Linked DNA regions of Arabidopsis thaliana. The protein of the gene in region 1 interacts with the protein of each later gene in a pairwise test. Each region holds a gene or a part of one and is shown on either strand. Other genes may lie near its edges.

Region 1 (3,927 bases):
TTTATGGAAAAGAGATTCATCCCAATATGTTTCGAACTCAGCACTTCCACCTAAAAGATTTATCACTGAACTAACAGCACATTGATATGGTCATGCAATTTCTTCGATCTAATCATGGAAAACAACATAGATAATGTTAACGTTTAATGTTGTAATGTTTGTGACTAATCTCTAACGGATGCTAATCTTATACTCCTACATTTATGCCCACAATATGAAATTAATGAGGTTTATACCAATAAATATTACTACTTCTAAGTTTTAACTAGTAGTAAACGAGTGGTAAAAGAGTGAATAGGAGGGTAATAAAGGTAAGAAGGAATGGGGAAGGTCAGAGGCGTATAAAAAATAACAAAAGGCGTGGGAGAGAGGTCTGCGTAGGAGACAGAGACAACATCATTACCTTCTTTGCATGCGTCTCCTCCGTCTTAAAGCTGAAGCTTCACTTTCTTTCTTTCCTTCTTTCTTTTTCTCTATTCTCAAATTTCTTTCTTTTATTTTGTCAACTCTCTTTCAAATATTTTAATTTAACTAGTACTATTCCTTCATTTTCCCAATAATGCCTGTAAAAGAATTGTATTATACTACTGATTTGAATTGTTCATCATGATGAATTCAATTCTTCTTTAAGTGGTTTCAATTCAAGTCTTAACTTTTTCAATTACCAATATATTTTCATTATAGAGTACGTACACACAAAAAAGTGTAGAATTGACTGTTTTAATTAAACGTTGGACCGCTATCTTCATATCGGGCCTAAATTCAGCCCAGTCCATTATGTATCACGGCTGTTGCAATTGGTGGACTTGTTTCATATAGGCTATATAGGTCACTGATATTCAATCTGTCCACTGATTGTTCTATTTGGAAAAATAGAATGATTAATTTCGTTTGTTTTTTTACTCATAACAAAAAAAGATTGCTATATTTGCAGGAGATTTTTCTACTGGTTATAGTTGATTGCTTGCTTCGGTTCATGCAACTGCCAAATTAGTGAAGCAATCTCTCTGCTTTTTCAAGATTTAGCTTCTGGTGTATCTACATTATGGCCTGTATACTTTGGAAGATGGATCAGATCTTTCGTCAGATGCTAAATCTTATAAAAGAAATGTTTTTCCATAGTTATGGAACGAATATCACTGTTCGGCAAGTCAGAATCAAGCGGACCCTTGACCCAAATGAAACTAGGAATAAATTCATTATTGTAGTCAAAATGGAGGTGTTCTTGTTGCTTTGCTTCAAGATCCTTTTCTCTAATGATCTCAAAGCTCGTCGACTTGATGATCTGATGTTAGGTGTTTAGACTTAGAGGTTTAGCATAGCTGAGATTTAACATCAAATGTTATTCTGATCAAATTAACATTGTTAATTGTTATGGGAAAAAAAGACATTTGTTAAATGTAGATTGTAGTAAACCTAAATGGATAATGTTGATTACATATAAACATTCTTAAGAAATAGTGACATGCTTGCATCTTTCCCTACGTGAATCTTTCTCTCTGCCCGTTATATATTTTAATCTTCTTGCAGATACTTGTCCGAATATATATCATCAACCTACAATTTTTTTATTTTACATATGCCACGAAATTGATGTTTTGACTTTAATTTGATTTGTAGTGTCTTCCACGTTCCTTTTTTTCTATAACAACCAAAATAAGCATATGATTTAAGTGGTAAACTGCACCACGAAATTATAGCAACGAACTACATAGATAATACATAACATATAAAATATCAAAATCAAGAAAAAGTCACAACGACCAACAAAATTACATAAATTAAAAAAAAGGGTATTGGTGATCAAAACTCAACGACAAAAAGGAGAGAGTGGGTTAGTTGAATGACCATTTTGTTCGCATGTCTGCTCTCTCTTCTCCACCTTCTTTTTATGCTCCCCTATTCTCCCGACGACTCAAAAGTTCAAAACAATAAACACCACATTTATTTATTATTAATTATACAAAACAAACTAAAATTAATTAGTTTATGATTTAAAGTTTATTCAGGATAATTTATTAAAAATTTAATAGCAATTTTTATTATATAGAAAACAGAAAAATGATACAAATATTCGGATTATTTTATGAGTATACAAATTTTAGTTGCATTAAATGAAACTAAGCAATTAGTTGGAGATATTAGTGGAATTGATCTAAGGGCAGTTAAGTCTCAATTAATTGGTTTATCCAAAAAACCAAGATTAATTAGTGCAAAAGACAAGTGTCAATAGTACAGAGATTCATAAATAGAATTAGAAACCCCAACAAAAATGTGAAGCTTCCAAAAAAAAAGTAAGTATCAAAAAAACAGAATTTTGTCTTCGTTCTTCTCTGAGATTAAAGCTTTCTCTTTTGTAATGGAAGAATCTCAGGGCATCAATGGCGTCGATGATTCATATCGTCATCTCCCAATTCTCTACTTAACCTTTTTAACGATCTGGTCTTTCTCCGCTTGTTCTTGGACGGTTAACACTTTCAAAAATCGCCACTTTCAGGTCAATAAATCTCCTATTTTTTCTCTATCTTATTTCGATAAATTTTGGATTTTTCACTCTTGGGTTTATGAAACTTCTTCTCAAATTCCAAATATTACTCAAAATTTAATCAATTTTTTTTGCAGAATGGTACTTGGGATTTATTGTTTTAATCATGAATTCAGACGATTCTGTTTTTGATTTGTCTCTTTTATGTTTTTCATTAAGGAAGAAACACAATTTGATTTTGGTTCTGTGTTTTTGTTTAGAGCAGACAAATAGTTTACAATGGACTCTTGCTTCAGTTCCATTAATCAAAGCCTTACAGCTCACACTATCTTTCCTCTTTTGGTAAGTCCTCTTTGTGAAGTTATTGTTTCCATTAATGTTACCTTGTCATATTGAGAAATTATTTCTCAGTAACCTTTTTATCGAAAGATCGTTTTCGAAGTCTCTATAGTTGATTAATCTGTTATTTGGTGGCAGGCATTCATGTTTTCACCATCACATTTGCTCTCTATGGATGTCTTTTGGTGTATATGTGACTGGTGTTCTGTTTCAGACAGCTTCATTTGTGTCTTTTTTACTTATCTCTCACGGTTATTGCATCACTTGTGAACGGCTCTCGTTGACCGAACGTAGAACTACAGCTTCACTTGGTTGTGTCTTTTATTTGACTCTTGTTGGATACAGAGCTTCTGTTCCTTATTTTGCAGTGAGTTTTTACCTTTTTCACCTACTCATTAAAGCTAATCTTTTACTTACTTACAAGATGATGAATGAACCAATCTTTTTTTGCTCCTCCAGGTGCTTCTGATACTTAACTACATGATCTCATTCTATGTTATATTCCATCACATATCGCAAAATCTAGCGGTGTTACGAGAACAGCTGAGTTTTATCGAAGATGAGAATGTTCAAGCTATGCATGATGCTGTATATGCTAAATACATCATGTTCAAGTACGTTTTTCATTACCCTCAGGTTTGATGGTTGATGGAAGTAGATAATCTGCTAAGAGTTTTTATTTATGTTTATGGTTTCAGAAAATTCCAAGGAGCTATGCAGATTGTAGCAATGGCAGAAACTGTGGTATGACCAAATCTTTCTTGATTGACATCATGTTGAATTTACTGCTACATTGTTTATACTCACACTCACTTTAAATTATGCAGATCTACATGAACATGGATAACTCCTCACAAAACTATTGGCTCAGGCTACTAATTCGAGAATGGGCTCAGTTCTGCATTTTTCTCTATATTGGGTAAGTTATGATCCCACTTTTCAAGTACATTTCGCTGTTCTTGCTTTGGTCAAGAACTAACAATGCTCCAAACTATATACTTTGGCAGTTGGACTTTCAGGTCTCAGGATATGGCACCGCGTTTCTCGGTAATGCCTACACTAAAACCGAAAGAGAATACAATTATTCCTCCGATTTATAGCAT
Region 2 (3,927 bases), on another chromosome or scaffold:
CATTAGCAAACATGGCAGAACCCAAAACGAAGAAGACATCAACATCATCGATAACCCCAGACTGGTCTGAGCTCCCTGAGGAGCTACTGTATCTTGAAGTATCTAGGGGACAACTGTTTCGATGTTGTTCATGCTCGCTCTGTTTGCAGCTTGTGGCGATCCACATTTCCTTTGTCTCCCTTGTTACGCCCAAGTTACTCTCTTCCCTCGTTCAACGAATTCCCTTCAGAAAGCAAAAACATGTGCACCCTCGAGAAGGTCCATCTCCTGATATTGCTGATGATCAGCTTTCCGATGCTCTTCAATGTTTAGTGAACGTGAAGATCCCAGCATCTATTCCAAAAAAGATCATCCCTTTGGGCCATAAGTACAGAATGATCGGTTGGGAATATAATCGCGCGACTTTTCTTCGGCTAGACAAGGAGGGAAGAAGAGGAGAATTTGTTGTGCTTCTCGAAGTCTCTGACACTTTGCTGGTGTTAACAAGTGCTGAAATGAGGTGGAAGCAGCTTGAGAACGTCCCATATACTATATGCGTTGATATAGTCACTTTTAGAGGCAGATTTTATGCACTTTTTCTTTCAGGACAAATCGTCGTTATCGATCCTTATTCGCTGGAGGTGACTCTTCTGTTGTCCTCACCTCAGGACCCGCGAGAATTACGGTCTCTGGTTCCATATGGCAAAGATGAACTTTTCCTGGTTGAGGTAATCATCCCAAATGATGTTGTAATAGACTTTAGTCGGTTAGCTCGTAGAGTGAGGAGGGTAGATGAGAAGGCTGGTAAATGGGTTGAGGTCGGTGATTTGGGAGACTGTGTATTGTTACTTGGAAATCTCTCTTGCTCGGCTAAGGAATTTCCTCGGGGTTTTGGTTTGACTGAGAACGCAGTTTTGTTCGGCGATCAGTCAGGCAATGCATTTTTATACTATAAACAAAGTGCGGTAAAAGATCTCAAGGGAGAATCGTGTGATGATACTCAACCATTTTTTCCGGTTATGGCTCTCCATGAAGACTGCTAGGCAGTAAAATCCTGCTTTAGAGAAATAAAAACATAAATTCCTATCATATTTTTAGGTATGGATTTTGTGATATCTCATGTTACCCATTGTTGGATCACTGGTATTTAATGTTGAAGTTAAATCTCAGTTCTGAGTTCTTATAACTTTTTTTCGTCATCATGATCTTTTTGAACAATTTGACACTGTCCAAAACTGAAACGTTTAGCCACGATATAGAAACTCTTTTCTTGGTCACTGATCTTTTATTGTGTGCTGCCTTGTGCAGTTTAAAAATCTTGCTACTTGAATGGAACTGGCGCTTGATGACGACGATATGGACTAAATGTAGGAAAACTACATTGCTTTTGACCGTGTAGCTCCCGAAGACTTCCTCAATAAAGCAATGGCTGATTACTCTAGCTCGTTGATATTTCCCTGGAGTCTTTGATTTTTCTCGACGTTTAAGTTAGCTTTTCCATCTTTTTAACATATTATACCGATGTCATTTTGAATGAGAATATAGCTTTTAAGTGGAATAGAGAGGGTAGACATTTGTTTTTTCAAAGTGATGAAAAGAAGTGAACTAGATTCTTTAAAGATCAGAGCATATCCACTGTGGTAGCTCACATACTAATACTGTTACGCCAGAACTTTCCCAGAGAGTGTCAATGAGAAAAGAAAATTCCTTCCAAAAGCTAAAGCTAAGTTCTTGAAATCATCTTTAAAGGAAAATGAAACTTACTTCTATAGTTAGCCTAGGGAGTTTCATTGATGGGGTTACCAAGCTCTGTGTTATTTCATTAATGTTGCGTACTAGCGTTTATTAACCGTTCCAAAAACAAGAACTCACATCACTTTACGAGTTCCTAAGATTCAAACCGATCGAAGATACCTCTTGGCAAATCAGTATCAAAAATATTCTTGGGTACAGAGGAGAGAAACAAGAGTACAAAACAATCAACAGAACGAAGAAAAGAAACATAACAACAACATAATGCAAAAACGACGTCATCTCAAGTCTATCCGAAAACCAAAGTCTTAACCGGCTCATTTGATATAAACCGTCTCAATCCCTTCGGTTCTTTGCTTTCCCAATCAATCCAACCCCAAACCAAATTCGCTCTAAATCTTAACTAGTCTCTATCCCCATTTGTCGACGCTACGAAAGGGCTCTGAAGAATCTGCAGGAAGCTCCAACTTTTTCTCCAAGTTACGGTACTACTACGACCTATCTCTTTAATCCCTGCGAATATTCTATAATGAACTGTGAATTTTCTGTTACCAACTTTTAGTTTTTCCTGTGGCAAATTGATCAAACCCAGAATTGATTATGACCTTTGGAGCTTCAGTGAAATCAATTTTTTCCTGTTGGGTTTTATTTTCCAAGAATGAACTGAGAATTTTCTAAAAATGGAAGAGTTGGATCGTTTCAGCAATTTCATCAAACCCCTAAAAAAAAGTTGTAAATTTTCGAAATTGCAGCAGTAAATTTCTGTGTTCTTCAGCAGCAAGCATGGCAATGAAAAAGAAGATATCAACATCATCGATAATGCCAGACTGGTCTCAGCTCCCTGAAGAGCTACTTCACATTATCTCAACGCATCTAGAGGATCACTATTTCGATGCTGTTCATGCCCGCTCTGTTTGCCGCTCATGGCGATCCACATTTCCATTTCCTTCTTCTCTATTACGCCAAAGTTACTCTCTTCCCGCTTTCCCTTTAGAAAGCAAAGACTTGTGCTGCACCCTGGAGAAGGTCCCTTTGTTCCTCTTTAGAGTTCTAACTCCTCCTGATGCTGCTGATGCTTCCTCCGAATATTTTCTGGGAGGATTAGGCCAAGATAAGTCAAATGATCATGTGGAGCTTCCATCTCCTCTTCAGTGCTCAGTGAAAGTCAATGTTCCAGGAACTGAGCCAATTTTGATGAACATGCTTGACTGCCAGATCATCCCTCTGGGCCATAAGTACAGATTGATGATCGGTTGCAATCCTGAAGAATACAGTGCAGCTTTTCTTCCGCTAAACGAACAAGGAGGAGGAGGCGAATTCGTTGCGCTCCTCGACTGCACTGATTTGTTTTTGGTGTTAAGAAGTACTGAAATGAGATGGATTCGGCTTGAGAAACCCTCAACTGCTTCATGTAAGGAGTTATTCACTTTTAGAGGAAGGTTCTATGCAACTTTCTTTAATGGGGACACGTTCGTTATCGATCCTTCTTCGCTGGAAGCGACTCCCCTAACACCTCATATCGACTCCAACTTTCTGGTTCCATCTGGCAATGAGGAGCTTTTCCTGGTTAAGACAGACTTCCTAAGATGTAGAGTAAGTAGGCTAGATGAGGAGGCTGCTGAATGGGTTGAGGTCAGCGATTTGGGAGACCGTGTTTTGTTTCTTGGTGGACACCTGGGGAATTTCTACTGCTCCGCTAAGGAGCTTCCTCATGGTTGTGGTTTGACTGGGGACTCGATTTTGTTCACCGTTGGGTCACGCAATGTAACTTACCCCTATAAATATGGAGTACATACAAATAAAAGAAAGGCTGAAGACAATATCAATTGTTGGAGATCCTCAAGGGAGAATCGTGTGTTGTTCCGCAACAGATATGATCCGGTCCTGTCTTTCCGGGTTGAACGCTAGGCCGCAAATTCTCACTTCAGACTGTTATTCTGTTTTTATTAGATCAAAGGCTATGTTTTCCTTTGATTTTAAGTCTAGATTTTGTGTACTTGAAAACTCGAACTATACATGATCTCTAGCAAATGTGCAATGGTCTATTGTAGTTAGTCTAGAAAGATTTGTTGGTAACCAGCTATGTTCTTATCAAACTTGTTGCAGGCATAGCAGCAATGTCGTCCCCTTATGCCATACCCTCATACAACTACTATTCTTGCTTTTATTCTGTTAAGAGCTTTTTGATCGTTGTAT

The links.
Region 2: the proteins of AT1G52155 (region 1) and AT2G24250 interact in a protein complementation assay, tested with the Arabidopsis thaliana proteins (one large-scale study listed by BioGRID).

Annotation. Positions count from the first base shown.
Region 1 is NC_003070.9:19,415,307-19,419,233, forward strand, and holds the start of AT1G52155 (uncharacterized protein), read left to right. Parts: upstream 1-2,127; 5' UTR 2,128-2,359; coding exon 2,360-2,497; intron 2,498-2,750; coding exon 2,751-2,827; intron 2,828-2,962; coding exon 2,963-3,191; intron 3,192-3,283; coding exon 3,284-3,438; intron 3,439-3,522; coding exon 3,523-3,568; intron 3,569-3,651; coding exon 3,652-3,743; intron 3,744-3,831; coding exon 3,832-3,927.
Region 2 is NC_003071.7:10,313,148-10,317,074, reverse strand, and holds the start of AT2G24250 (LOW protein: F-box/kelch-repeat protein (DUF295)), read left to right. Parts: upstream 1-2,094; 5' UTR 2,095-2,216; intron 2,217-2,483; 5' UTR 2,484-2,514; coding exon 2,515-3,639; 3' UTR 3,640-3,927. Other genes in the region: AT2G24255 (LOW protein: F-box/kelch-repeat protein), read left to right, coding at 12-1,022.